7 linked regions of the Macaca mulatta genome follow. The protein of the gene in region 4 interacts with the protein of the main gene of each other region in a biochemical or structural test. Links are inferred from orthologs where the notes say so. Each region holds a gene or a part of one and is shown on either strand. Other genes may lie near its edges. The genes, in order: PARP1, HCLS1, GSN, CASP3, GZMB, PANX1 and PTGES3.

The links.
Region 1: of the proteins of CASP3 (region 4) and PARP1, one has a biochemical effect on the other in vitro, tested with the Homo sapiens proteins (9 studies listed by BioGRID and IntAct). The link is inferred for Macaca mulatta from reciprocal best matches to the Homo sapiens genes CASP3 and PARP1.
Region 2: of the proteins of CASP3 (region 4) and HCLS1, one has a biochemical effect on the other in vitro, tested with the Homo sapiens proteins (2 studies listed by BioGRID). The link is inferred for Macaca mulatta from reciprocal best matches to the Homo sapiens genes CASP3 and HCLS1.
Region 3: of the proteins of CASP3 (region 4) and GSN, one has a biochemical effect on the other in vitro, tested with the Homo sapiens proteins (2 studies listed by BioGRID). The link is inferred for Macaca mulatta from reciprocal best matches to the Homo sapiens genes CASP3 and GSN.
Region 5: of the proteins of CASP3 (region 4) and GZMB, one has a biochemical effect on the other in vitro, tested with the Homo sapiens proteins (2 studies listed by BioGRID). The link is inferred for Macaca mulatta from reciprocal best matches to the Homo sapiens genes CASP3 and GZMB.
Region 6: of the proteins of CASP3 (region 4) and PANX1, one has a biochemical effect on the other in vitro, tested with the Homo sapiens proteins (2 studies listed by IntAct). The link is inferred for Macaca mulatta from reciprocal best matches to the Homo sapiens genes CASP3 and PANX1.
Region 7: of the proteins of CASP3 (region 4) and PTGES3, one has a biochemical effect on the other in vitro, tested with the Homo sapiens proteins (2 studies listed by BioGRID and IntAct). The link is inferred for Macaca mulatta from reciprocal best matches to the Homo sapiens genes CASP3 and PTGES3.

The regions. Positions count from the first base shown.
Region 1 is NC_133406.1:84,166,520-84,170,693, reverse strand, and holds the start of PARP1 (poly [ADP-ribose] polymerase 1), read left to right. Parts: upstream 1-1,374; 5' UTR 1,375-1,542; coding exon 1,543-1,662; intron 1,663-4,174. UniProt on the Homo sapiens protein: Poly-ADP-ribosyltransferase that mediates poly-ADP-ribosylation of proteins and plays a key role in DNA repair.
Region 2 is NC_133407.1:162,124,757-162,128,944, reverse strand, and holds the start of HCLS1 (hematopoietic lineage cell-specific protein), read right to left. Parts: upstream 2,801-4,188; 5' UTR 2,689-2,800; intron 1,165-2,688; exon of another isoform or gene 1,144-1,164; coding exon of another isoform or gene 1,081-1,143; intron 210-1,080; coding exon 126-209; intron 1-125. UniProt on the Homo sapiens protein: Substrate of the antigen receptor-coupled tyrosine kinase. Plays a role in antigen receptor signaling for both clonal expansion and deletion in lymphoid cells. May also be involved in the regulation of gene expression.
Region 3 is NC_133420.1:36,932,088-36,936,085, forward strand, and holds the start of GSN (gelsolin), read right to left. Parts: upstream 2,801-3,998; 5' UTR 2,743-2,800; intron 1,031-2,742; exon of another isoform or gene 899-1,030; intron 1-898. UniProt on the Homo sapiens protein: Calcium-regulated, actin-modulating protein that binds to the plus (or barbed) ends of actin monomers or filaments, preventing monomer exchange (end-blocking or capping).
Region 4 is NC_133410.1:193,076,818-193,080,974, forward strand, and holds the start of CASP3 (caspase-3), read right to left. Parts: upstream 2,801-4,157; 5' UTR 2,733-2,800; intron 2,058-2,732; 5' UTR 1,890-2,057; intron 1,828-1,889; exon of another isoform or gene 1,794-1,827; coding exon of another isoform or gene 1,756-1,793; exon of another isoform or gene 1,668-1,755; intron 1-1,667. Other genes in the region: PRIMPOL (DNA-directed primase/polymerase protein), read left to right, coding at 1,756-1,793. UniProt on the Homo sapiens protein: Thiol protease that acts as a major effector caspase involved in the execution phase of apoptosis. Following cleavage and activation by initiator caspases (CASP8, CASP9 and/or CASP10), mediates execution of apoptosis by catalyzing cleavage of many proteins.
Region 5 is NC_133412.1:97,735,497-97,739,660, forward strand, and holds the start of GZMB (granzyme B), read right to left. Parts: upstream 2,801-4,164; 5' UTR 2,742-2,800; coding exon 2,585-2,741; intron 1,546-2,584; coding exon 1,398-1,545; intron 942-1,397; coding exon 806-941; intron 593-805; coding exon 332-592; intron 1-331. UniProt on the Homo sapiens protein: Abundant protease in the cytosolic granules of cytotoxic T-cells and NK-cells which activates caspase-independent pyroptosis when delivered into the target cell through the immunological synapse. It cleaves after Asp.
Region 6 is NC_133419.1:94,944,396-94,948,265, forward strand, and holds the start of PANX1 (pannexin-1), read left to right. Parts: upstream 1-1,352; coding exon 1,353-1,533; coding exon of another isoform or gene 1,534-1,586; intron 1,587-3,870. Other genes in the region: uncharacterized protein LOC114672334, read right to left, coding at 837-1,586. UniProt on the Homo sapiens protein: Ion channel involved in a variety of physiological functions such as blood pressure regulation, apoptotic cell clearance and oogenesis.
Region 7 is NC_133416.1:63,860,573-63,864,717, forward strand, and holds the start of PTGES3 (prostaglandin E synthase 3), read right to left. Parts: upstream 2,801-4,145; 5' UTR 2,552-2,800; coding exon 2,550-2,551; intron 1-2,549. UniProt on the Homo sapiens protein: Cytosolic prostaglandin synthase that catalyzes the oxidoreduction of prostaglandin endoperoxide H2 (PGH2) to prostaglandin E2 (PGE2).

The sequences.
Region 1 (4,174 bases), on a different chromosome or scaffold from region 4:
CTTACTGATTACTAACTTTTAGGATTCAGCCTATGTCTCACAACCTTCTTGCTTACTCAACATACTTATCTCTTAAGCTACTAGCTTCTTCTCTATGGTTAACACTTTTTATGAGTTTTATTCATCCACTTATTTTTCTTATCCTCTACACCAGAATTGAATATTTTCAAATGCAGCACACTCATGTTACAATCTTTGAAATGAAAAAAAAAAAAAAGCATAGGATTAGAAAAGAAACCAATTTTAATCAACTGTATTTTAAAGTATAGTTCCATATTAAACAACATGATCTAGGCCAGCTGCAGTGGCTCATCCCTGTAATCCCAGCACTTTGGGAGGCCAAGGTGGGAGGATTGCTTGAGGCCAGGGGTTCAAGACCAGCCTGGGCAACATGGAGAGATGCCCCATCTCTTTCTTTATACACACACACAGAGAGAGAGAGAGAGAGAGAAAATATCTGGTAGCAACAGGTCTAGTCATTACCACAATTTTGAGTAGTGATGAGCTTAATAATATTTTGAGTTATCACCAAAATAACTGTAAAGTAACATGAAAACATCTGTGATGACTATTGCCCACAAAGTCACAGGTACTTCTAATACTCCTGGGATTTGTAGTCAAATTCATAATAAAGGAAATGCTAGGTTTCAGTTGGTATTTTGTCCCGACGGTGTATGGATGGCAGGTTGGAATGCCCGTCCAAGCCAGGGGACCTAACACTGCAGGGTCCACCTAGGGCCGATCAACTATATTCCCTAGGGGGGCCTGCTATTCCCGGACCCAGCTGCCCTCAGGGGAGAGAGGACACACTTATAAAAAGAGTTTGGGGCTGGCTTGGTAGTTCACTCCTGTGACCCCAGCACTTTAGAAGGCTGAGGCTCGAAGATCACTTATAGCCAGGAGTTTGAGACCAGTCTAGCCAACTTGGCGAGACTCTATCCCTAAAAAAACAATTTTTTTTTTATTAGCCAGTTGTGGTGGTGCACGCCTGTAGTCCCAGCTACTTGGGAGGCTGAGGTGGGAGGATCGCTGGACTCAGGAGTTCCAGACTGCAGTGAGCCATGATCGCGCCGCTGCACTCCAGCGCAGTGAGACTCAGTCTCAAAAATAAAAGGTGGAGGGGTTGGGGGTATAATTAGTTATGAAAACAGGTAAGACTTCCTGGGACAGAACGATCAAAGGGGTGGCGCCGGGTCCTCCAAAGAGCTACTAGCTCAGTCCAAGCCCCGCCTCGGCCCACAGGGTAGCGGGCCGTAGAGCTCCACCCGCAGGAGCCCGGGAAACTCCGCCCCCCGGCCGGCAGGGGGCGCGAGCGCCGCAGGCCCCGCCCCGTGGACGTGGGCTCCGTGGGCGTTTCCGCTGCCAGGCATCAGTAATCTATCGGGGAACCGCGGTGGCCGGTGCGGTGTGCTCGGTGGCGGCTCTGGACGCTCAGGCGCCTGCGGCTGGGTGAGCGCACGCGGGGCGGCTAGGCGGCGAGGCGGCGGCGTGTTTCCAGGTCGTGGCGTCGGGCTCCCGGAGCTTTGGCTGCAGCTAGGGGAGATGGCGGAGTCTTCGGATAAGCTCTACCGAGTCGAGTACGCCAAGAGCGGGCGCGCCTCTTGCAAGAAATGCAGCGAGAGCATCCCCAAGGACTCGCTCCGGATGGCCATCATGGTGCAGGTGCGGGCCGCTGTGCGGGCGGCGGGGCGGGTACGCGGCGCCCCGGGTTAACTGTGTCCGGGAAGGCTCGGGGAGTGCGGGCCCGGGGAGCGAGCGGACCTGGGCTCTCGGAACGGCACTTAGGGCCTGTGGGGCCGTGGCCGCCTCTCCTCCGCCGAGCGGCCCGGCCGACCCTTCCGGAAGGTTTTGCTGATGTTGCAGGAAAAGCCCGGGAAATACAGTCTGCAGCTGGTGCTGCCTTTCGCTTTGTGTAAACGAGAAGCCGCTTCTCTCCTCCTTTCTTGGTGGTGGTGTTTTATTATTGCCGTTCGCCTCAGGGATTGGGGGTGGGGGGGAATTGTACATGGTCTCTTTAAGCTAATCTGATTTTGACCTATCTTGTTCTGGAAGATTTTTGTCCTACGTGGATGGTGGCGACTGGCATGTGGGGATTTTTTTTTTTTAACCTATTTTTGGCCGTCATTTCAACACGTCATTTTAACGCTCACCCTCATTTTTCATTTTAATTAGGCAAAACTATGCAGAGAGGTGTCATTTCTGTACAGTGCATTCACTTTGAGCCTAATATGTGCTTTAACATTTTCCCCAAATTTTCCAGGTTCACAGACGCGTTCTCGGTGCACTTGCAGCTGTCTGGTTTGAGTAAGAGTGGCTCCAGGGGGGTTTCTCATGTGGGCTTTTTGATAGATTGAGGATCGATCCCCTTTTGAGATTTCCTGAGGCTTCTGTGAGGTGGTGGGCTTGAAGGCCCCTGTCATTTCCCAGGGGCTCCTGCCTCCAGCTTCCAGTTTGCTGATGTCTGCCTTTGTATGAATAATTCTGGTTCTCACCTGCCCTGTTCCTCCTCGCTTCCAACACATTACCCAAGCTTAGTGCTCATGGTCAAGGTAGCTTGATTTTCCTCCCTACCATGAGCTGTAATGTGTTTTAGGAATGACCAGATAGCCCTCAGTGGATTTTCAGGACTTAAAGAGTACAAGGGAGGGCGACATTTACCGAGTGGATACCCAAGTGCCAGGTGTACTTCCGTTATCTTATTTCACAATATGTCTGTCATTTCGGTGTCCTTGGGGCATACCTAAGTCAGTACGTGGCACACAGTGCTTATTTGGTAGATATTTGTTAAGTTCTAAGCACTCTGTTAGGTTTTAAGGACACAGAATCCACCTTTGGGAATTTCCAGTTTGGTTAAACGGGAATTGACTGGTAAACAAACATTGCCGTACAGAGGGGATGGATGCCACCTGATGGAACTGTGCTCCAGGCATTGTGTGCCTAGGAGTCCAAGATGACCCACCTTAGGGTGGAAGGTTGATTAGGAGTCGTTAATTCACAGAAGTGGAGCAGAAAGATGAGGATAGGGAAGTAGACAGGGCCTACAATTTGAAGAGCCGTGTTTCCCACTAAGGAACCTGGAACTTACCTTAAATATATAAGGCAGCCTGTTCTAATGAAGTTCTCACTCCTGGTGCAGGAGCTCTTAACCCCAGGGTCCGTAGGATGGTAGATAGAATGCAAGAGGTCCATGGGTTTAGATAAGAAAAAATTGATATCTCCATCTCCACTAACCTATAGATAAAATTCATTATTTCCTCTAATCATAAATGTAAGCAGCAAAGCAAAGGCATATTAGCAGTCCCTATGATTTTTTTCACCAGCGGTAATTACAGATATTTTCACTTTACAGTTGGGAGTTTCTCAAAATATAATTTACTCTCATTGCTATAAAAATCACAGTTGTTAGAGGCAGTACTAGATCTTGTTATTTAAAACTTTGAAGCTCACGGGTTACTGTACGCAAATTACCTTTCAAATGTTTTGATAATTATTTGAGTATGTTTCCTTTTCGAACTTTTTTGTTTGTTTTGTTTTTTGAGATGGGGTCTCACTATGTTGCCCAGGCTGGTCTCAAACTCCTCAGCTCAAGTGATCCACCCACCTTAGCCCTGTAAAGTGCTAGGATTACAGGCGTGAGCCACCATGACTGACCATTTGCGAGCCTTTTTATTATGCATTTTTAAATGTTATTCCGAGAAAGGGACATCCACGGGCCGTAACAGGTGGGCAGAGTACCGTGTTCTAGTGGAAAGACAGAAAACCCAAGTTCAGGCAGTGTGTTGAGGCTAGAACAACACCACTGTGGAGGAAGTTAGAGGAGGCTTAGTTAGCTGTGGGGGAGGCAGGATGGAGGAAGCTGAACCTGATCAAGTTTAACATTCTGGGGCCAGGCTCGGTGGCACACGCTTGTAATCTCAGCGCTTTGGGATGCTTGGGTGGGCAGATCACTTAAGCTCAGCGGTTCAAGACCAACCTGGCCAACATGCTGAAACCTCATCTCTACAAAAAAAATGCAGTGATTAGCGGGGCGTGGTGGTTCATGCCTTTATGTCCCAGCTACTCTGGAGGCTGAAGCTGGAAGATTGCTTGAGCCTGGGAGGTGGAGGTTGCAGCGAACCGAGATAATGCCACTGCACTCCAGCCTGGGCGACAGACCCAGACCCTGTCTGAAAAA
Region 2 (4,188 bases), on a different chromosome or scaffold from region 4:
AGTAAGAGGGCTGTCTCAGTCCCAGAAGGCCCTTTTCCAAGCATCCTCAAAGGTCACAGAGTTGCCCAGATGCCCTCGCCACCCCACTCTCTGCAATATTCAAGCAAAGCTACTTCCAAACTCACCACAAAGTCAGGATCTGTGTCCCAATCATCACCCTGGGTCTCCACGGAAACAGACACATCATGGCCCACTACAGACTTCCACATCTGAGAGTGACAGGAGATGGGAATAATTAGGGACAAAAAAGGATCAAGAGGAGGGAAAATAGGAATGTTGAAGTCAAAATATAGAAGCCCAATATTTCCTGCCATTTTTTTTCTTAGAAGAAAATAGAAAATGAAGCAAAGCAAATGGGAGTTGTAGGAAGGCTTTTCTGCTCAGTTACAAGAGGAGAGATAGGGCTTTATTCAAGACAAACCAATGTGGCCTGGGCCCGCTTGGAGCTAGAGAGAAGTTGCCATGGGTGTGGGTAACACTAGGTAACCTGTAAGTCAAAATTGCTGGAATTGTTCACTTGTGTCCCGAGGCCAGCCAGGCAGTGGCTGAAGGTGGTTGGCAATGAGGGGTGCTATAATATCCCTAGAATTATGGCCTCATTTCACTCAGGTTTCTATATACGATTCCTTTGTCACTGTTGAAATACCAATTGGTTCAGTTTCTCACAAGTGAACATCTACGTCTCTCTTTACAACCTGCTGAACTATACTGAGAATTTTTCCAGCCTCTTGTCCAAGTGGTGTCCCACCTTCACCCTGAGACTGGTCACTTCACAGCTGCATAAGGTCAGTAGGGACAGTTGGCTGACATTTCCACACTGAAGAATGCATGGGAAAGCATTATTTGCTGGGAATAAGTCAGTTATTACTCAATTTTTAAAAAATGGTTCAATTATATTTCTAAAGAAAAGTAGTTCAAAAAATAGCATGTTTTCAAGTTGACAATTTATCATAGAAAAGAAAAAAGAATCATATATAATAAATCTTATTTTGAACATTAAGAGGTATTCAGTTTTTATCAACTAAATAAATGTTGCAGAAATATTTAGAGAACACTAGCTTGGAAGGGTGCCAAACTTACTCTGCTAGAGCATCCCCAGTGTTCTAGTCGGCCTTCTGGACTGTGCAGAAGGAAGAGCAGCATGGTTGCTCTGCATCTGTGGATCTTGGTGTGAAGAAGTAACAACAGACAATGCTCATCTGCTATGGTCGCTACTGAGACTTCTTGACCCTGGCACGACTTGCTAGCTGGCAACCCTTCCCTCCTCAGACACCTCATCCCATTGGATACCTTCTTCATGCTCTCCATTGTCTCCAAAGAGTTCCTTTACAACTACTCCTCGGGTTCTCCTGTCTCCACCTAGGCCTTCAGATTCTCCAGTTTTCTATTTCCACTTGAAAACTCCATCTTCTCCATTGAGCAACCCCTTAAAAACCAGCCCAGGGGAAGCCTGGGGTAAATCAGTTAAAGAGATGCTAAGGGGACACTGGGCAGATATTGACTGAGTCAGCCGTGAGTCACGGCTGAAAGCAGCTCGGCTTTCCCTGACGCGGGTGGAGACAGCAAAACAAGACTTAGAATCTTGCATCCTTACTACCCCTCTACTTCTCATCCCCTGGCTCCTGGGCTGCTGTGCAACAAAAGGACTGTCACACACAAAACTGGAATGGAGAAGTTTCTGAAATAGTCATGAGCAATAAGGAAGCAATGAGGACTGATGGTCCCATCCTCTTTCCTGTGGCTCCTCTGAGGCCTCAGCCTGACTCTCCCATTCACCCATTTTTGAAATAAAGAGTTTCCGAAATAGAGACAATTTATCTAATATCCTTGACCTATTGACCAGAAACCAGAAAGGTAAGAAGTGCTATCTAGAGGTGAGAACCAGAGAGTAATCTGGTGAGGCCTTGTTGCGATGCTGACCTCCTGCATCAAAGTACACGGACTGGGAGTCAGAAGCCCTGGCTGTCACCCCAGCTCTGTGACTAAGCCTCTGAGAGACCATCACAAGGGCATCAACAGAGTAGGTACTCATTTGCCAGGTATGAGACCAGGCGATTAATAAATACCAACTTGAATAATTTGCCAAATCAGCAATTATCTCTGATTTCCCCAGTGGAAAATAATGAAGGGGTTAACCTAGCTAATCTGTAACGTCTCCTTGATTTCTGACATTCGGGGATTCTGTGATCTACAATCACAGAAACTAGCCCCAGCAGAACCATCATGCCTTCTCTTGGGCTCCATCAGCACTTGGTACTCAGTGCTACTTTACATCAGTGACTACTTCCTTATCTGTTACATTTCCTATGTGGGTTTGTTTCCCTGAGACCATATGCTCTTCAAGGGCAGACACTGTTTTCTTCTCCTGTGGTCCTCCTCCCAACTCAGTACCTAGGGGAGACATGCCTTAGACTGGGTTGTAGATTGTCAGCAGAAACCAGGCAACACTTTGCTTGACGTTTGTGCTAGATGGCTCCTGAATCATTTGCCTTGAGTTTAAGTCCCTCCCTTCTGTTTCTATCTCCAGATGCTGATTTGCTACAACCACTCACAACCAGGCCTTCTGGCCATAAAAGGATAAAAGCCTACTAGTGGTGACCTTGCCCATCACCAAGGACTAAGAGCCAGGTAGGTTCCTCCTCAACAATTACTGTGTTTCCCGACTGTCCCATGGCTCAGAGTACCCACCTCCACCTGTGCGAGCCTCTGTTCTAAGCGCCCGGCTCCTTGCGTCCACACCGACTCCCTCTCTGGCTGCTGCCACTTCGGAGTGAGAAACTGAGCTGCTGCTTCAGTTCCGTATTCAGGTTTTCGTCATTTCCTGCCACCCCATCCTCACAGCTACTTCCTGAAATTTGAGTCAGTTCCTTCTGCTTTAGACACTTAAATTTTAAAAGGATTAAATGTTTCTGTGCCTGGTCTTTTTGCAAGGTTTTGACAATGGGGGTCATAGGGCAGTCATAGAAAATGCTGCTTTGACTCTGACTTTGTAATCTAGTGAGAGAAACAAACATTCAACCAGAAAACATATTAGAGAATTCCATAGAACAGCACTGTATCCTAAATAGGGTGGCAGTTACGTTTGAGACTGTAAAGGAATTCAGAGCATTTGGTATGGGATGTATTCATCAAGAAAGGCTTTATGGGAGAAGTCATTTATATGTGGATTTTGAAGCATGAGACTTAAAAAGAAACTCACCCCTATATTACCCACGGCACTTAAAAGTGGAGTTTTCATATAGATGTTCAAATAAACATCGACCAGTTGAATGCCAGAAGGAATAACTCATAAGGGAAAAGGCAAGACATGGAAGGAGAAAGTTTCCTAGCTTGTTTGGGGCACTGTGGAGTCTGAGCTAACAAACTAAAGATTTGGCTCCAGATATTAGGAAGAATTCTGAAAGAACCAGGTGCTGGTCAGCTGATGGAAGGTCTTTGTGGCCTCCTGTTTCAATGCGTGTCAAGACTTGCTGCCCCTCCCTTCCCTCTTGAAGTCAGACGTGCTGAGGTGACTTGTTTTGGCCAGTGACAGATGCCACTTTCTGGCGGAGACTGTAAGACCACTGCAAGCTTTGCTATGCTCTTTCACCACTGCCCAAGGCAACCTGCAATTCTCCATGTTGGCTCCTCCAGCAGACTGAGTCCCTGAGTGAGAAAGAACACAAGTGGAGCCCCATCTACCATGTGAGGGAATTGGAGTCTTTCACTAAATAGTCCTTTGTTTTGGCTACTGCGAATTTGAGGGTGTCTGTTATTGTATCTGACCTAGCCTCTCCTAATCTTGATTGTCTGTGGACTTCTTGATTTGTTCACAACGGTGCATTCTCCAAGGAGTTTAAGCAGGACTAGATGAAACTGGCCCATGATACAGGCACTTTTCTGCATTAGGAATATGAAGCCTCTGTCACTTCCAAATCTAAGGATTCTATGCCTGGGGGAGCTTTATTTATCCCTCCTACTTTATTACCTATTTATTGTGATGGTACCGAAGTTATAAGGAAGAGTACATTTGTAGAAGGGAAAATAGTCTTGTAAAATCACTTGGAATCCTCATGTAGTGTCAAAATACGAATTAGACTATATACTGTGACACACCATCCAGGTACATAGTTCTCTGGAGAAACTAGAAATTAATCAGAGATGACACCAAGAAGCCCCATCTTTCTTTAGCAAATGTCACAAGTTCAT
Region 3 (3,998 bases), on a different chromosome or scaffold from region 4:
ACACCTGTGGTCTCTGATAAGCAAATATATACACTCAGAGACCACAGACATAGGATGTAAAAGTTTAATGAAAGAAAACCAGAGATCAATGTCTCAGCAAAGTACCATAGACCAAGCAGAAATCATCTCTATGACCCACATCACAAATGACCCAAACTATTCACATGGAGTAGGGGAAAGTGGCCCACTGTCACTGGATGGCTAAGAGTGAAGGCATCCAACCAACGTGTTTGGCAGAAGCGCACACACACCACTGTTAACAGTGGCGACCTCTGAGGAAAGAGGAGGGCTTGGGGGGATAAAAATTTATGTTTGAATCTTTAACAATATTTTTTGTTTGTTTTAAAACTCATGAAAAAGAAAAAAAATTACAATGCTGAATACCTTAGCAGCCTTCTCCAGTAGGTATAGCCTGTTGTCTGCTTTTAGATGAAATTTATAGCAGGTTCTGAGACCTTCAGCTGGGCTTCCAGAATCTGCTGCTCTGACCCATCCCAGTGGCCACGCTCTAGTTCAGACCTGCATTCTACTTCACTTGAATCATGCAACAGCCTCCTCAGGGCCTTTCTGCCTCCAGATCAGCCTGGTCCAATGCATCCCCCATATCGGCCATTCAGAATAATGAGTTTTTAAAAACCACTGCTCTGTCAAAACCCTTTCTCAGTTCTTCATTGCCTTCAGGATGAAGTCCAAACCTTTAGCTTATAATCTAGTTCCATTTTCATTTAGAGTCTCAACTCCCACCACCCCGCCCTTCTCCCATCCTCCACTCTAGCCACTTGGATGGCTCAGAAAACCTCAGTGCCTTTGCACAAGTGGTTCCTGCTTCTCAGAATGTCTTTTCCTCCAACTCCTGTTTCTCCTGGTAAATGATTACTCATTCTGAGGTCTGGGTCACCCAGACAAAATTAGTCACTCCGCCTGCAGGCTGAAGTCACTCTTAATATGGCACGAAAGTGTCAACCACTATAGATGACAAGCATCTTGAGGACAGAGAGCTCTGTCCTCTTCCGAGGCTATTGGGCCCCTCGCAGGGCAAAGCACAGAACACAGGTCCAGAGAAGGGCTGAAAGGAGGGAGGAGGGGTGGAAGGAAATGCCATGCAGGGCAAACTCTGCAGCCACCCCTCCTGGGAGCAGCCTGTTTCCAGGCTCATGTTAGTCCCTAATAAAAGGACTATAGAAAATTCTGGAGTAAACTTCCCTTCCCTGATTCACACAGAAACCTTCTTTGCTGCTGTGTAACTCACCGAATGCCAACCCAAGCTCCCCTGGCTGTTTACAATTTCCCTGGCATTTCTAAATAGCAAGGCCCCGGAAAGAAAAATGGAGTTTCAAAGGAGCTGAAAGCCGACCGTTCCCATCCCCATCCTTACTCCTCTGTTTCCAAGCCTCTCTCCCTTAACAGCCCCAGGAAACACCAACCAGCATCCCCAAGCGGGGGGGGGGGGGGGGGGGGGGGGGAGCGGTGGGGAATGCTTGTCCCTTTAGTGAACGGAACACCCAAGAAGGAGGCTAAAGTCCCTCCCAGCAAGGAATCCACAAAGAGCAGACTGGAATTGGGTCCCAGCCCTAACCTGCCTCACTGTGTGTCAACTAGCCCATCATAAACTCTCTGGGTCCTTGACTTTTAACTGTGAAATGGGGATGGGGTAAGATTCTAGCAAGCTATGGTCGCTGTAAAGGGCAGAGCGGTGAGAGTTCCTGGTGCCCTGGTCAGAAATGTGGTCCTGGGAGAACACGACACACAGGATTAAGTCTTTGAAAAGTCCCCAAAGGCCAAACAAAAGCGAGAGGCACCTCCCCAGAAGCCCCGCCTTCCACAAAGTCCAATTACCCTCAAGACAGCCTAGAATGAGTTCTGGGTGTTTTAAAAGCCCCTTCCATGCTCTGAGGAGGGTGTGAGGACAGGATAAAGCGGCAGATGTCTGGGCAGAGAAGGAGCTAGGAAGAAAGCCAATGTCACCTGCTCGCCCACACCCCCAGCCCCCAGTCTTCCGAGGACTGGCTCTTCTCCCCGGGCACTGCGCAGACCAGCCAACCTGCACTGGACCAGAGGGAAGTTGCTGTTATTTAGGTTTTGGGGGGCTGGATCCCAGAAGACATGGGGGATCAGGGAGAAGGGGTTCCAATCACTGTCTTCAACTCCGAAAGAAGCTTCCGTGTGAGTCAGGGAAGGGAACACTGCAGGGCCGGGGAGGAGCCAGCAGCTACAGGTAGCAGGCGCCCGAAGATTTCAGACAGTACAAGGAAGAACTTTCTAACAGTCCTCAGAAAGAGGAAGAAGCCGAAGAGGAAAGCAAGCACAGGTATCGTCCAGGAGGCAAGGGTCCTCTGAGTGGACTCCCCAGCGGGGTCACCGCCCAGACCGTAGCTGGTGGCCCCCTGCATGCCCGGCTCAGACACCCCAAGCGCGGGAGTGACCCCGGGACAGTTCCCCCATCGCGGGGGCGGGGTCGAGGTTATTAGCTCAGGTGCTAGCAGCACAGTGGAATCACGGGGTGGAGGCCTGGCCCCTCTCCTCTCCTGCTCCAGCGTCTCCCCATCCCCCTGCTCCCATCCACACTCTTTGGTCCCCTGGAAGACGGGAAAACTGAGCGCGGAAGCCCTTTTCCAGCGACCCCCGCGGCCGGGCCGAGCTCCAGGCGCGCGCGAGACAGGACCGGGAAGGAAGGGAGAGGAAGGGCTCAAATCAGCCCGGGACCCCCAGATGTCCGGGGCCGGGGCTGCGCGCCTCCCCTACCTGCTGCTGCGGCGCTGGAGACGGCGGCTGCTGGGTCCAGCTGTGCTCAGCTGGTTCCGGGCGGCGGGGCTGGGGCGTTGCGGTGCGCGCGGCCGGGGTGGGCAGGGCGCGGGCGGGAGCCGCCCTCGGGGCGGGGCGGCCCGGCAGGCGGGTGGGGGAGGAGCGCCAGGCCCTCCCGTCGGCTGCAGGGCGGGTGGCTCCAAGCTTGCCTTCATCCAGGGCGACCCCTCGCTTCACCTCGCAGGAAGGCACCAAGCCCTCTGCTTTCCCCTGGAGGAAACTGAGGCCTGGAGCACGGAGGGGAGATCTGAAGAGGCCTAGCGTCGGGGAGGAGACCCAGGGCAGCTCCTGAGCTGGCCTGGGGCCAAGAGCTCAGATGGGGCGGGCAGGCGAGCAATGCTCAACTAGCACCAGCGGAGGCCGATTTCAGCCCCGGAGAGGACGGACTTCAGGAGGCAAAGTGAGACTTCGGAGAGTGACATAGGCTGCACACAAAGCAAGGGAGATTCCTTCCCACGGAAGGGAATAAAGAGGAAGAGCGATTCCCAGCTCATTCCGAATGAAGTAACGAAAATGCCAAGTGCATCCCTGGTCCTTAAAGTGGACCATTAAGCAGGCGCCGTGGAGTCAGAAGGGCCTGGTTTGGAACCCCAGACATCAACTAGTCCTGTAACTTTGGGCAAGCGAGCTCACATACCTAAGTCTCCGTTTCCTCGTTTGTCAAATGGGCATCCTGGATTGCCTCTTCATGGGGCGGTTGAGAAGACTCAGTGAGAAAAAGACCCTCAGCACAATGACAAGGCACTGTGGCTTCTGCATAAACGGATGTTCTTATTTGTGTCATAGCAGATATTGTTTGAGGAGATTGAGGAAATCCACATTGGGCAGAAAGATGAGTTCAAGGTCACTTTTAAACAAATGTAAAACTTTGTTGATCTCAACAGCATCTCATATGCATTTGAGACGATAGCCGTTTATAATGTGGCAAGGCATAGGAGGGCCTCCCAACAGTCCTGGTGCACACGTGGGTTCCCAGGGCTCTTGGAGTTGCCGCGTGACTCCAATTTGGAAGGATTCACACACTCAACAGGAGACTGCACCACATGACAGAGATGTCCATTCCCAGCCTGGGTGCTGGCAGCAGCCTCATGTTCAGCCAGGGTAAAGCTCCATCTTAACACAAGATGAAATGTACTACAGTCTGTAATTGCCAGGTGCTGGGGATCAGAGCAGAAAAGGCTGTTGTTTAGCACAGA
Region 4 (4,157 bases):
TTTGGAGGGACAAAAGGAGAAAACGGGAAAGCCTTCACAGATCTAAATGATTTATATAAGTGTAAAATGGAGGATCTTGAATGCTTTTTTATAAAAATTACAGATAACATTAAAGGCTCACCACTCCCACCAAGAATGACTACTTTGCAGAATCAGATTCAGGTTTAAAACCGCTTGAAGAAACCCTACTGTCTGGAAGACTGAAACTGCCAAAAGTCAGATTCAGTAGCATCTATTCATTTGATATTTGCACCATAACAATTTACTGAACACCAACTGTGTGCAGAGTACTATACTAGACCCTGAGTGTATCAAGCAGTGGACGAGACAAACCCTATCTCTATGCAGGGCTTATACCGATGTTCACTGGCATTCAAAAGTGGCTCAACAAAGCAGATGCCAGACGGTGTCCAATACATATCAGGTAGCTTGATTGCATTATTGTAATGCAAAGAAGCCCTACAGGCAACATGTGAAGGTAAGAACAAAACATGCAGAGAAAGAACATTATATAAATCTAAGAATTCTCACATCTTTTTTTAGGCCCAAATACCAGTGCTTCCTATCTTTGGGGCAGAGCTTAAACATCTAATAGTAGGCACCAGAAGCAATGTAATATATCATTCATGAAAATAAAGACTGCTTTGTAGGGGGATGAAGCAGTAGGAGATTGTGTTAAATGAGGTCTGAAAGCAAAACAGTGAAGAAGCATTATAACTGCCTATATCAGATGCCAGTCTCTTCAAAAGGCAAGAGTCAAGGCCTTTATTCAGGATAGCAAAAGCAAACCTGATTTAACTAGGTACAATGTCTAATGTCTCTTACTCTGAACAGGTTTTATTGCCATACTCCAATAAACTGTTCGTGCATTCACTAAAATATATTTTCACTTTCAAAAACCTTCTTTTACAAAAAGGCAAAGCAAAACCAAAGCCCAAGCATCGGGCTGTGATAGAGATGATTTAAGCTTTACATTTCACTTTTAGAGATGATGTAACCACAGCACGCACACTCACAGTGGCTGAGCCCATTTTGATACAGTCTAGTCTAACCACCTTTCCTGGCCCTCTTTCTGCTATCTTGCAGGTTTACATGGTTTCAGTGACTCCATGTCACCTCTACCATTTCTTTTCTAACTATTATTTGCTAAATAATCCTAAACCAGGTCTACTTTTTCTAGATAGGGCATAAAAGTAAAAACACAACGGATGGGCATTCACTGCGTTGTGCCAGGGCCCGCATTTGGTGAAAGACTCTAAGGACACCAAGATAAACCAAGTCCATCCCTCCTGGAGTTTGCTTGCAAATCTAGCAGGGAAGACAGTAAACAAGCAACTGCAGAGGATATGACACATCTCTCTTAGGGAACGCTGGCTGCAGAAAGAACACAGTAGAGGAAGATTGAACCTTGAACTGTTTTAATGAAAACAGAAGTTTAAGTAGCAGCTCTTACTTCTAATCAAATGTGATGGCGGGAGAAGGGGAATGCAGAGGTGTGGCAGACACTAGCTATGAAGGTCAGCATTGCTGTGCAGAAAGTGAATCGGTGCTAAAGATAGGGAGGGGTGGGGGCACTCAGGACCCAACACGTACTGGGGTTTGTCAGCCGTATTAAGTGCTGGGTTTAACCTAAGGGCAAAGGACGCGCTTTCTAGACTTTCATTTCATAAAGATCCCTCTGTGCTGTGAAAAGTGGACTACAAAGGAGCAGGCGGGTCTGGAGGTGGAGAGACCAGGGAAGAGGCTGCTGTGGAGATGGAGAGACGTGGACAGACCTGGCAGACGTTTACAAGGTCGACAAGGCTTGGTGACTAAGCGGGAAAAGAAGTAGGTGGGCGAGAGGGGGGCGAGAAGGATGTTTTCCGGTTTCCTGCTTGGGTGCCACTTACTGAGAATGGGGGAAAGACGCAGGTGCAGAGCACACCCACTGAAAACAACAGCGCCGAGCGCGAGCAGGGCTCGCTCACTCCTCACGGCCTGGGATTTCAAGGCGACGCCAATCAGCTGTGGCCACGGAGACACAGCCACAGGGATGAGCTGTGAGCACTCACGAAACTCTGCAGGGCCGAAAAGGAATTGGATTTTAAACCCTGCAACTAGCTCTCTGGAAGAGCTAAACCACACAGTCAACCCGGGATAGTCCAGGCCCCAGGCATGGAAGGCAGCAGAGACGGAAGCCTCGCCCAAAATTGGAAGGATCAGCCCCGAGGGCGAGTCCCTCACAGTCAGCACCCGGCCGCCCCAGCCCTCGCCGCACCGCTTCCCGGGGCCACTCCTCCGCCGGCGGTAGCACCGTCTGCTTTCCAGCTTGCCGCTGCCTCCCGCTGCCTGGCCCGGCCTCCTGGCCCCAGGCCCGGCCGCCAGGTCTCTGGCCCTCGGAGTTCGGTGCCCCGTGCCCGACCTCCCGGCCCCGGCCTCGGTTCCCCCGGGCCGGCCTCCCGCTGCCTGGCCTCCCCGGCCCCAGGCAAGCCTCCCGCCCCCGGGTCAGGTCTCCCTTCCGATGACCTGAGGCCTTTCCTTAGGTTACTCCCAGGTCCCTCTCCCTAAATCAAAAGCCTTAACCCGCTGCCTGGCTGCCCCGGCCCCGGCCCCGGGCTTCACTGCTCGCTGCCGCCCCGGGTGAGGTGGCAAAACAAAGGCTCCGCCGCCCAGGTCCCCGGGCGGGCGCTGGGCCTGGGAGGACGCAGGGAGCGGGGACAGGGCTGACCGCCCGGAGCGAGCGCGGCACTCACCGCACAGCCTTCTCACACCTTCCACAACCGCCTCACAGCAGCAGCCACCCGTTACGATCCGCGTCTGCACCGCTTCAGCAGCCCGCCGCCTGGGGACGTGCTCCAGCGCTAGCCCCGCCCCCGGCCCGCCCCTGTCGGCCCCGCGCGCCCCCTCCCTGGGGCCCGTCCCCCAGCTCCCGCCCGCCCGAGAACCCAGGGCCGGGCTGGGCCCCAGGAGCCGCCAGCCCGCGCCCGCGCCCGCGCCCGCGCCCGCGCCCGCGCCCGCGCCCGCGCCCGCGCCCGCGCCCGCGCCCGCGCCCGCGCCCGCGCCCGCGCCCGCGCCCGCGCCCGCGCCCGCGCCCGAGGCCCCGCCCCCCGAGGCCCGCCAGGCCCCGCCCCCCGAGGCCCGCCAGGCCCCGCCCCCCGAGGCCCGCCCCCGAGGCCCGCCCCCGAGGCCCGGCCCCGCTCCCCCGCCCCGGATTTGAAAGCTGGGTCTTCCTGAGAGTCCGCGGGCTTCCGCTCCCAGCGCGGGATTCTGGAGGTAATTTGAGGAAGACTTGGAAACCGCGCCAGGCCCAACGGGGACCTAGAAGGGAGACAAGGCCAGGCCTGCTGCCCAGTGTGAGCTCTGAGAAGAAGAGGAGCGGGCCGGGACGCCCTCCGGTAATTTCCGTCCCCCCTCCGGTGACCTGAGGCCTTTCTTGGGGTTACCCCCAGGTCCCTCTCCCTAAATCAAAAGCCTTAGCCTCCTGTCGCCAGGGTGCCGGGCTAGTAATAAGCAGGTCCACGCATGCTGGACACACGGGCTCAAGCCACTCCGCGCATCAGTCAGTACTACAAACCGTACGCAGTAGTGTACTTAATCCATATATAAACGTTACATGTTAAGCATCCCACAGCAAACAAAGTAGCATTTAACATCCCGAGGAAAAAAAGAGAGAGGACAAAGAGATGAACAACCAATCCAGAGGGAGTGAAGAAGAGAAGAAGAAGCCTGGTTTGGGCCCGAGAGGTCCTTCTGCAGAGACAGCGTCAATTAAGACTGTTTGGAGCTGCCGAAGGCAGAGTCCGGGTGAGAACTGACAGTGGAAGAGGGCGCTTGTTTGTGTCCTTACCTGAGTGGATGCGGACTAGTTTTTTACTTGTTTATTAAAGTATAGTATCCTTGTTGGCAAATGCCCTATGAAATATAAAATGGAGTCTTTTCCTAAGATGGAGTTATTAATAGTTACGTGAAGGGTGTGCTATACACTGCCGTACTGATCCCCTTCCTATTTTGGGTCATGAACTCATTTTAGACCCTGAAGCAAACTGTGAATCGTTTTCGCAGAAGAATTCTCCACCACGTGAGCACGACATTCTGCATCAGATTTCAAAAGGTTCTTGACATTCAGAAGTCAGATCAGGGACCCCATGGCAGAGCCTATTTCTAACGCTTGCGCCTAT
Region 5 (4,164 bases), on a different chromosome or scaffold from region 4:
TTAACCACGTTGGGTACTGACCTCTGAAGACACACCTGGTTATAATTACTGCATTCCCAGTGGGCACAGTTTCCTAATATCTGTGACCTGGAGTGGGTAGAGTGTTGCAAATTCATCCTTCCAAAGGAGCACCATCCACCATAAGCCTCCTTGTAAGTTTGCAGAGGCCCTAATTTCTCCCCAGCTCTGTCTAGTCCCCTTTTCTCTTTCCAGAGAGAAAGATCACAGTCTAGTGGGTGAAGGAGTCCCCCACTACTTAGGTCTGCAGGTCTCAGATCTTCCCCAAACATCTTTCTCCCCAGAGCCAATCCAGGTAGATGCATAGTCTCACCTTAAAGGAAGCCTTTTGAATCTCTGGGTCCCCCACGCACAACTCAACAGTACTGTCGTAATAACGGCCTAAGCGGGATTTGCACGTTTGATCTTCCTCCACTGTCAACTTCACCTCCTGCAGTGTGTGTGCGTATTTTCCATCGGGGGTCGTCTGTCCCCAGCCGGCCACATCGCACGCCTGCCCTGGCTTCACCTGGGCCTTGTTCCTAGGTAGCCTGAGGGGCTGCACAGCTGTGGTCCGCTTGGCCTTTCTCTCCAGCTGGTGGGGAAGAGGCAAGAAAGTTCAGGTCAGCCAATGAACTTCTGGGCCCTGACACAGTGATGGGACTATGCTGTCTTCTCTCTCCTCTGAGGCACAGGAATTAACCAAAAGGCCAGGATGGAAAGGAGGGAAGGGCCTGCATCACAGTGGGAGTGGAACCAACTGGACTTCTTGCTCAAGAAGAGCAAGAGTGGCAGGAGTGTGCCTCACCTGTAGTAGCATGATGTCGTTGGAAAAGTTCTCAGGATTATAGGCTGGGTGGGGGATGGCTCTTTTCACAGGGATAATCTGCTGGGTCCGCTCCTGTTCCTTGATATTGTGGGCCCCCAAGGTGACATTTATGGAGCTGCACAGAGAGCAGAGTGAGGATGGGGGCGGAGTCACAGAGGACACAGCCCAGAGACAGTGAAGAGCAGGTGACAGCTGGGGCAGGGCTGCAGCTGAGGGGAAATTAAGGGGACAGTCTGTCCCCAGGAATTGGAATTCTGGTAATTGCACCATGTTTCTCAGGGGTCGGTTCCCCCTTGAAACACCAGTGGAATTGCTTCAGTTTGTATTCTTATGCCAAAGTATGCCCCCGGTTCTAAATATGGCAGGGTTGGTCACTCTGCTGTTTCTTACTTCAGCAGCGCCTCTGGAACCAACCTTCCCCCCTCTCCACAAACTTACCTGCCCTTTTCTCACCCTCTAAGGAGCCCTCCTGGCATATGTGTTCCCAGGAGCCCAAGGAGCTCCTTGGGAAGAAGGCAGGGGTCTCTGTGGAGTGTTTCCGGGAAAGTATGGGCTATTTTCTGCTCCTCACCTTCCCCAACAGTGAGCAGCTGTCAGCACGAAGTCCTCTCGTATCAGGAAGCCACCGCACCTCTTCAGAGACATCTGATCCCAGATCATAAGATAAGCCATGTAGGGGCGGGAGTGGGGCTTGGCCTCATGTCCCCCGATGATCTCCCCTGAAGGAAAAGTCTCTCTGCTTGTGTGCACCCACGGAATCTGCTGGGTGGGCACCTGCTTGATGGCTCCAGAATTCCTGGGCATTTGGGAACCTGGGATAGCCTGGAGTTGGGAGGGGCCTGGAGGAAGGGGTTTCAATTTCCTGCTCTGTAAAAGGGAAGGACAGCAGACTTTGGTCTGTAAATCTTTCTTCCATATGTAGTCGAAGGCAAGCATACCTGTCTTAGGGACAGTGAAATCCCAGAGGCTCCTGATCATTCCTTTCCTGACTTTGCTTTGTTTCAGGTGAGTTTCCAAGACCTATGAGTCCCATGGTTTCTAGGATAGTGCTGCTTTCTAATAGCCAGGGCATAAGTGGAGGGATCTAGATACTGTCATATGCTATTTCCTAGAGCCTGACATGTAGTGGGTGCCCAATAAATGTTCATGGCTGCATGATGGACTGGCTCCAGTTAGCCTCTGGATGAGGGCTGGCAGAGCAGTGCTGGTGGAATTCTAGAAAACGGAAGTTCAGGCTTGCCATAGTGCCTCATTCTTGGAAAGAGGGGAGCCACCAAAGGCCAGGGAAGAAAAGCAGAGTTGGAGAATGGGACTGAGCAAACACATTAACAGTGTTCTGAGGACAGTGATTGCACCAGTTCTGCTGTCAGCTGAGCTCTGGGTTTCTCTCCTAAGTAGACGGTGAGAGAAGGACCTGTGTTATCCCAGAAACAGAAGCCAGGCCTACTCTAGAATAATTTAATATTTCTCTTTTCTAGTTTCCCATCCTCTGCCATTTACTTCTAGGAAAGTCTCACTCTCCAGGTGACAAAGGTGGGCTCTGGAGAGGGGATAGTACCCACTGGCTCTTCTTGAGAACGGCCTTCTGCTCTGCCATTCCTGCTGATAGCTTATCCAGCATCACACCTGGGGGGTCTTGGTACAATGGGAGCTGGAGTTCAGAACATTCCTGGTAGATAGATGGATCAGGAATGTGGAGAAAGGGCAGGAGACCTATGGGATGGGGTTGGGCCCCCGAGGGTGGAGACGATCACTCACCTGCATCTGTCCTGCGCAGCAGGAGGAAGGCCAGCAGGAGCAGGATTGGTTGCATGTTCTCAGAAAGGCTGTCCTGGTTGGAGCTGCTATTGTTTCCTCCTTGCTCTCTTTTAGCTCTTGGGAGAGGAAAGAGGTGGAGCAGGCTCAGTGACTTCATGTTCCCCTCTGGTTTTGTGGTGTCTCATCACAGAGTTTCTGTGAATGCTGCCCACCCCCACTGCTTCTGCCTGATGACGTCCTCTGGGTGCTTGTGTGAAAATCATGCAGTGACCACATCAGCACCCACAGCTGATGACTCAGAGTAGACTACCTATTCAGCCCAGAGCAGGAACCCAAGCATATGAAGTGAACTGTAGGATATGGTATCAGCCAGTAGAGGTACTGAAGCACCAGAAACCTGAGTTCCCAGTGATAGAACCCCAATGCCTCAAGGCCATGCTGCTAAATCCATCAGGATAGTTTCTTTAGCAGTTTGTGCTGGAACCAAGCATGTTGGAGATGTGTCTCCTTCCCTTAGAGAGCTGACCGTCTGGTTGAAGAGACAAATGCCAGGAGCCAGAGTACAGTTTGGGGAGGGCCATGGTAGAGCAATACACAAGGTAGTAACAAAGTATGGCCACCATCTACTAGACCCATCTAACAACCCATTTATTATCATAGCTTCCTTTCTAGGGAATTTCTAACATCCTTTATTTAGTTACAAATATTTAGTGTGAGAGTTCACCTCTTTTCTGAACGCTTTCAATAAAAGTCCTGTACTTGACATTTTATTGGGCTAGATTAACGAATTGCTAGGAGTTGAATCCACTTTGGGTAGGCTGGGGTCAGTCCACTCAAGCCACTAGAACCAAGAATGAGAAAGGGCTGGTTCTCTAAAGGACGTTTGTAATGCTAAACTGCTGATACCATGTGAAGTGAGGAAGCATGCCAGGCAGCCAAAGATAAGTAGTTGTCTTTTTTAGTATTCTGTCTCCTGTCCAGAGAGCCACACTTCTTACATAGCAGGCTCAGCACATAATAGGCACACAGTAAACATTTGCTAAACAAACTACACTAATGCTATCGTTATGATGGATGTGAAAGATGGTTGTTTCTAAACAGCCTGTGCCCAATTCTATTAAAAAAAAACTAAATCTCTCTACGTGGTTTTATTATTGTGATTTGTTTCCATCTTTGTATTTTCTGTATTTTACAATTTTTCTATGAAGAATGGTATATCTCAAAAATAGAATTCCAGTGTAAATGTCTTCCTTGTCAATAGCAAGCCAACTACATTTATCAGACTTCTGTTTTTTGAACCTAGCTTGCCCCATAGTAGACGTTTTAAAAATATTTTTTTTCTGATTATAGTCATAACATATGTTTATTAAGAAAATTTGGAAAGTAGGAAGGGAAAATATCACTTATTAATCTGTCTCCCACAGACTGACTGTTACCATAAGCAGTGTGTTTTAAATACTTGGGATCACATTGTACAGACAATGCAGTTTATTTTATCCTTGCTTAACCCTACAAATTAAGCATTTCTAAAATTATTCTACTAATAATTGTAGAAATCTATTAGTTAATACAACTATAGT
Region 6 (3,870 bases), on a different chromosome or scaffold from region 4:
CAAAACATTTTAGACTGTATGTTGTCACCCGAAGCCCGTGACTGTAACCTGTGTACCGCACCCTCCGATGAAAAAAAACCCAACTCCGACATGAGGGGTCCTCCTCCCTTTTCCTAAACTTTCTTCTAAAACCCTTCCAACGTGTAACACATTTTGAAACATGCCCAACTTTGCTGGTAAGTCTTCTTGGCTGGATCCTCACATTTAGCTTCCGATAAATCGAATTATTTCTACCTCAACAGCCTTAATTTCCGTGGACACTTGTCAGAGTATTTCCTCCTGTCTTTCTATCATCCACTTCCTGTGAGCTGTTCAGAAGCAGCTCTCTGCAGCCTCAACACCCAGCTACCTGCAGGCCGCCCCTCTGCTGGCTCCCAGAACAAGGCTCTGATTGGGATGGCAGAGGAAAGAGAAACGGGACCAGCAGCGCTACTCAGGCCTCAGACGGGTCATACTCCACACTCACCAGCGTTTCCACGCCACCATCTCACGCGGAGCTCCTGGAAGGGTCCAGCGCTCCCTCTGCAAGGGACCGTCTGTCTACACCGCTCGATTGGCCTTTTACGGCACTGACTCTTCTTTGAAGTTTTTACAGCTCCTTCTAACCCATTTCACTGTGTTGGAAATGTTAGGGGTGGGGCGTAAAGGGGGCCATCCCGTCCACAGAAAGAGTTGCTTGCAGAAATGATTTTAAAATTCCCGGGTGCCAGGACGTGAGGAGAATGCGGCCGGGAGGGACGGGAGAATTTTCAAAGGTGCCGCTCAGCGGGAAAATCCCTTTGTCGGAGAGCGGGCCCGAGGGGCGCTGGATGCAGCCGCGCCCACCCCGCCTCGCGTCACCGCGTCTCCGGAAGCTCCACGCCCCTGGGTACTCGGTTTCCCCGGATGGTTCCGGAAGAGCGCGGCGCGGCTGGCAGAGAGCGCAGGGCAGGCCCGGAGGCCTCTTCTGCAGCCGGGGCGACGCGTAGGCGCAGGGCCAGAGGGAAGCGCTTTGTCTCGCGCGTGGTTCCCGCGCCTGCGGGCGCGCGGGAGAGGCGCGAATCCGAGTGCCGCGCGCGCCCCGGGGACTTACACCGGCTGAGCGCGCGAGGTGGGACCGCAGGAACCGGAGCGCCCGGGTCCCCGCCCCGCCCCGCCGGCGGCGGAGGCAGCGAGCGCGAGAGCCCAGCGGGGTCGCTGGGAGCCGGAGGCACCGAGACACAAAGGCAGGCGGGATGCGAGAGCATCTGGGGAGCAGGTAAAGGGAAAGCGAAAGCCGCACGCCCGGCCAGTGACAGGGTGAAGGAGCCGCGCAGCTCTCCCGACGCCGGCAGTACCAAGTCCTGCCTGGCCGAGCCTGGCGCGCCGCAGCCATGGCCATCGCCCACCTGGCCACGGAGTACGTGTTCTCGGATTTCTTGCTGAAGGAGCCCACCGAGCCTAAGTTCAAGGGGCTGCGACTGGAGCTGGCCGTGGACAAGATGGTTACGTGCATTGCCGTGGGGCTGCCGCTGCTGCTCATCTCGCTGGCCTTCGCGCAGGAGATCTCGATTGGTAAGCCTCGCCCAGGACGGAGGGGAGTGGCCGCCCCGGTCTGGCCCGGTGAGCTGCGATTTTACGGCTCACAGGCCCGAGCCTGGGCACGCCCAGCTGTGATGGTAGTGAGCGTCAGGAAGGACAGTGGTCCCGGTTTTATGGTCCAAAGCGTTCTTTGCCCAGGTGTTTGTTTCATTGGTACCCTGGTCTACTCTGCTCGCATCCCTACTCCTCAGTTCTTTTGTTCCTTATGCCCCACTGATCGGATTGTGGCTTACAGTTTATGTTCCACCCTTAGAATGGGCACCTTGCCACCAGATTTGCCAAAAATAGCAGTGTCCCCGTTTTTCACCCCTGTCTCCTACGTACTTGTGCAACCGCTTAAAATTTTGCGCCAGAGAAGTTCCTGAGTGGCTACATGGAGAATGTGAAGACCGGTGCTCCATGAGAAGTGTGTTCTTTCACTATCTTACATATAATTGGTGTTTGCTGAGATCTTAGCTCTCTAGGGTTGTGCATGATGGGAAATATCTGCACTTGGCAGGCATTAGAGGGATCCTCCACTTGGACGGTCTTACGAATGTGAGATGAACAAGTCCCCTTCCTGTAAATTCTCATTTGAGCTTCATAACTGTTGTGTGAGATTGGAAAGTCTGGTGGTTTGGGCAGGATCATGTGGCTATGTGGCTTATCTTCCTCATCAGCTGTTCTGACTTTCCACACAGGAGAGAGTGTTTATGAACCAACAGGAAGGTAGTGCAGGAAGGTTAAATACAGTTCTGTGGCAGGGGGAAGAGAGAGGACCCATTGCGACTGGACTTTGGGAAAACTTTGTCAGAGGGTGGGTGGGATTTGGATAAGCAGGAGTAAGACCTTTGTTAAGGTTTTGAGATGGCAGAGAATGTTATATGTTCCTGGAAAGAGAGACACAGTGACCGTCCTAGCCAAAGCAGGAGGATAAGTCAGAGTTCCTGGAGTCCGAGAGTGAATATGGGCCTGGGTCAGCCTGGAACAGAAGAGTGTAGGCTGATGGTTTCAGAACTGTGAAGTTATTGTTTGAGCAGAGGACAGACTGGTTGAAAACAGCACTAAGTAAATACTAGCCTGATGGTGGCATTTAGGGTCTGGGAAGAAGGTGAGAGGATGGGGCCTGGAGGGCTGAGTGCCAGAGAGCAAGGCATCAGTTGAAGTCTTGTGCACAGCAGGTGTGAAGAGTGGAAGAAAACGGGTGGGTGATTGCTGTGAGATCAAGGAGTATATAAGCAGCACTTGAGTACCTAGTTTTTCATAGGCCATGAAGGGCAGTACTGGTTGAACGCGCTGTGGAGGTTGTATGTCTGGCTGATTGGAGTGTGGTGTTGGTGGGAATTGTGAAGTTGAGGGAAGAGTTGATTAGGAAAGAGTGATGGTGAGTGTGATTTTGCAGTCTGCAGCATTAAGTTGTTCAGTTTCGCAGGAAGTTGCCAAATTCATGGTGGAAAATAAGTTTTTCGTTTTCCTGCATTTGCATAGACATAGTCATCGGGATTTTCTTTAACTTTCCATTTGACAGTGAATTGAGGCTTCCAGCTGAAAGGAAACCACCAAGTAGCATGAGTCATGGAGATAATCTCTCCCTTCAGTCAATTCCTCCTTCAGTACTGGCTGTGTGCTGAACTCCGCGCTGACCTCCAAGCACCGGGGAGTAAAAGAGGCATGGTCCCTGTCTTGGAGGTGCACGTCTTGGGTACCTGGTTGGGACAGAAAGGCAGGAGGGAGGAGTTAGTCACCCTCTATGACTAATCTCCACCTCTAGCGCGTGTACTAGAGGGACTCTAAGGCACCTGCACCTGTAATGCCTTAGATACATCTAAATTGGTGGGCTGAGAGGTATTTTGGGGGTATTGGGAGTGGTTTTACCTAGCAAGAGTCTGAGGTCGTGCTGTGTGCATAGCACTGTGTGCTGAGGGAGGTGGGAAAGGATTTTGAGACCTTGTTCTTGCCCTGCCTTCTCCCTGCCCTGTGACAATTTACTATGCAGTTGGGCACTAGAACATATCTATTAGCAGGTAACACCATTCAGCTGTATGTAAGTCAGCACCCAGACAGGTGTTGAGCTATGAGCTCCAGGCTGGTGAAGGTTGGCAGGCACTTGGGTGAGGAGCTATTGAGCAGACGCCCATGTTTTCTGAAGTGTTTTCAGGAGTTCCAGGGGAGGACAGACATGTAGGATGAAGCTAACAGGACCAGGGAAGACCTATTAGATCAGGTATACATTTAGATAAAACCAGAAGAAGGGCTTTTGAGAAGAGGGGAGAGGTACATAGACTAATACATGGAGTTGGTACAGTGAGAGGGATCATGTTATGCAGCATT
Region 7 (4,145 bases), on a different chromosome or scaffold from region 4:
CTTTTTTTTTTTTTTTTTTTGAGACAGTCTCACTGTGTGGCCCAGGCTGGAGTGCAGAGGCGCGATCCCCCCTGCAAGCTCCACCTCTCGGGTTCACGACATTCTCCTGCCTCAGGCTTCCAGCAACTGGGACCACAGGCGCCTGCGACCACGCCTGACTAATTTTTTGTATTTTTAGTAAAGACGGGGTTTCACCGTGTTAGCCAGGATGGTCTTGATCTCACGACCTCGTGATCCGCCCGCATTGGCCTCCCAAAGTGCTGGGATTACAGGCGTGAGCCCCCGCGCCCGGCATGAAGGTACCATTTTTTTTTTTTTAACTAGAGAGGCTGCTTTTTGGAATTGTCTCTCTACTGCTACACTTACTTTTTTTGAGACGGAGTCTCCCTCTATTGCCCAGGCTGGAGTACAGTGGCGCAATCTCGGCTCACTAAAACCTTCGACTCCTGGGTTCAAGCGATTCTCCTGCCTCAGCCTCCCGAATAGCTGGGACTACAGGAGTGCACCACCACGCCCGGCTAGTTTTTGTATTTTTAGTAGAAACGGGGTTTCACCATATTGGCCAAGCTGGTCTCTAACTCCTGACCTCGTGATCCACCTGCCTCAGCCTCCCAAGTATTGGGATTACAGGCGTGAGCCACCGCGCCTGGCCTTACACTTTTCACCCAAGTTTTTAAATTTACTTTCCTAACTTAGCCGTTCCTTACCTATTTAGATATCTCATGTGCCCTCCAGAAAGTGCTTCTACTTCGAGCCCATTTTAAACATTTTTCACGAAAAGATATGTTGTTTGGCTCTATTATTAAAAGCTGCTTAATGCCTTATCTGACAAAAATTTTCCCTTACAGATTTTCAGAGTATGAAAGGTTAAGACTGATGTCCCTTCTACATTACTTATGAGAGATTTCAAAGGGAAAAACAAAAGCTATTTTATATACTTTTTTTTTTGAGACGGAGTTTTACTCTTGTTGTCCAGGCTGGAGTGCAATGGCAAGATCTCGGCTCACCACAACCTCTGCCTCCCTGTTTCAAACGATTCTCCTACCTCAGCCTCCCGAGTAGCTGGGATTACAGGCATGTGCCACCACGCCCGGCTAATATTTGTATTTTTGTAGCGACGGGGTTTCTCCATGTTGGTCAGGCTGGTCTCGAACTCCCGACCTCAGGTGATCCGCCCACCTCGGCCTCTTAAAGTGCTGGGATTACAGGTGTGAGCCACCGCGCCCAGCCTGATTCAAACTTTTAAAAACCCCGATTACGTATCACTCTCGGGGAGGGGGCTCCCTCAAAAATTCTAACATGCTGTGCTCTAGAAGCTTGTTTCCAGTGATAAACTTCGCTTCAGTGTATCCCTCACTCATTCCTTTAGATTTCTAGCCGTCAGTATCATGACTTTGAATCAAGCAAACCCTTCTTACTTTTCCACAAAGTCACTCCCTCTCATCTCTTCTGAATGGAATATTTTTTAAAAAAAGGTTCCCCCTTAATTGCTCTCCATACCTTTTAGGACGCAGTTAGTACCTTAAAAAATAACCTCCCGTCAAAAAAAAACCAAAAACTAAAACAAAACCCTGTAAAACCGGCAGTTCCCACTGTACGTGGCAGTGCCAAGAATTCTTACTCGGTTAAAATCGCCGAGGTTTCCTTTATCATCATAAAATGAAGACTACCATAGAATCTCAACACAAATTTAAACTCTTTAGGACAACAGTAGGTTAATTACACGCCTATTACATACATATTTCACCCCACAGTTACAGGATAGTGAAACCTCACCTCAGGTTTAACATGGAACACAGAAAATGTCCGTGTCTTTCCAAAGCAGACACGTGCAGAACTACCTGCTCAACGGTAACTCCTCCTCGCTGCCAGGGAAGCGGCTGAGTTTTGGCAACCTCCCGTGTTTTCAAGAGACTGGAGTTACGAGGCGGACTTCAAGTACCCACACTCAAGAAACCCAGACACTGGAGAGAGAAGTATGTTGCGGCGTGGGCATGGCTTCACTCTAGTTGCCTAGCAGTACCTGCCGCTCACGGCTAGGCCCGCGTGGGGCTCTCCCAGGAGCTCCGCCAGGCAACTGGCGGCACCCACCACAGGTGCACTCGACTCAGGGCCTGGCCCGGGGACCACAAAGCAGCAGAACCGGAGCGCCCAAGCAGCCGAGGCGACCCACGAGGGTTCACGCTTCACGGCGCCGCATGGCGAGCAGCTCCGGGGAGCTTAAGGCCTAAGGTGAAGTTACCTAAGGAAGCCAGTAGCCCAGACAGCCAAAGAGGGAAAAAGTAGGATTTCCGGTATAGGGAAGCCAAGGGACGTTTCAGGGGTGGGGGAAGCAGACATCTGGAGGAAAAATGTCCTCCACCCGCCAACGGTAACCGGAACAAGGATCCTGGACCTCCCGCCCCCAGGCAGGAACGACTGCCACCACCGATGCGAGAAAGGCTATGGGGCCAAAAGCAGAGGGAGGGCAAGGGCCGCTTCCAGGGAGCCCCCAACGCGGCCTCGGCCTCACTCTGGGCGACCTTCCCTCGGCGGGGTGTCGCACTCACATTGTGAACGGGGCAGGGGGACGGGCGAACGGGTGGGCGGGCCTCTCTGGCGGTGGCTGCTGCTAGGGAGTCGACTTCTCTCCAGTGGCGACTCCGCGTTTTCTCCCCGGTCGCGGCCTCTTCTCGCTTCCCTCAGGCGACGGCGGCAGCGGCGGGCTCGACCTCGGTCCCCAGAATGCACCGCGCGGAAAGAGCGGCTCCTCCGGTCGGGGAGAAGAGGAAAGTGTAGGAAAACGGGCGCGAGGACGGAGAATGAACGTGCGTGCGTGCAAACGAGGGGTGGTGAGGCCGGGCGGCGGCTGGTGACGCAGCAAAATGCCCGGGCCTTACCGCCGCGCGTGCGCAGTCCTTGTTTTCGGGGTCCGGCGCGGCTTTCTAGAGATATCTACGGAAAGGGCGGGGCTTCCCAGCTCCTTCGCGATCCTTCCTGGCGTCGGCCCCGCCCTTCGTCCGCCACCCCACCCCCACCCCGCCCCCTGCTAGTCGCTACGCGTTCCCGCCTCTCCTCCCTCGCTGTCCTCTCGCGTTAGAAAACCGTTGGTGTCCCAACTGCCCGGCCATGCGCCTTGGGCGATTTCTCTGAGAAACGGCTGCGTTGGCAGTGGGAGGCAAGGCCGAGGCGGAGGGACACGGAGTCAGGATCCTATAGAACTAAAATGGAGCGTTGGTTACTCTTGAGGGAGTAAATCAGTTCACTGAGGAATCATTCCACCACAAAAACCTGTGAAAAGGCTGTGCTGTGGAAAAGGGCTCACTTCAGAATCAAGGGCCTGGGTCTACCTCGCCATTTTTCTGAAGGTTGGAGGCTCTGTCTAGGGACAGCGGAAATTGGAGGTTCTTGGCGGAGGAGGAGCATTTGCCATTTGGGGCGGGCTTTTGCCCCTACCTTGAGACCTCAGTGCTGTAGATGAGACAGGAAGGATATTTGGTGGGAGAGTCTTAGGTTTCTGGGAATGGAGAGGCTAGGACATTGGGTGTCTCCACGCACATCATTTGGGGGAGAACGGGTTCCCCGTCGCTTCGTGCAACACACTAATAGGGTGTATTAGGGGATAGTAACCAAGAGACCCAAAACAGTCCTGCTTACCAAGAGGCCACTTAACGGTGGAGTATGGGAAAAATACTCTAGTGCACTGCATTATGAACAGGAAGGAGGTTTAACGAAAGTGCTATAAAACGTTTCTGAAGAACGGGGCTTCATAATAAGCAATAAGGTATTTAGTGTCTATGTTGTGCACGACAGGTAGTGGGAGCTACGAAAACTGGACCCTAGCTCAAATGCCATTTTGGACCGGGCGCCCATAGCTCACGCCTGTAATCCCAGTACTTTGGGAAGCTTGAGGTGGGCGGATCACCTGAGGTCAGGAGTTTCACCTGCCCAACATGGTGAAACCCCATCTCTACTGAAATTACTAATTAGCAGGGCGTGGTGGCACGCGCCTGTAATGCCAAATACTAGGGAGTATGAGGCGGGAGGATAGCTCGAACCCAGGAGGTGGACGTTGCAGGGAGCACTCTAACCTGGGCGACAGAGTGAGACCCTGTCTCAAAAAAAAAAAAAAAAAAAAAAAAAGGGAAGTTGGCCTGGCGCGGTGG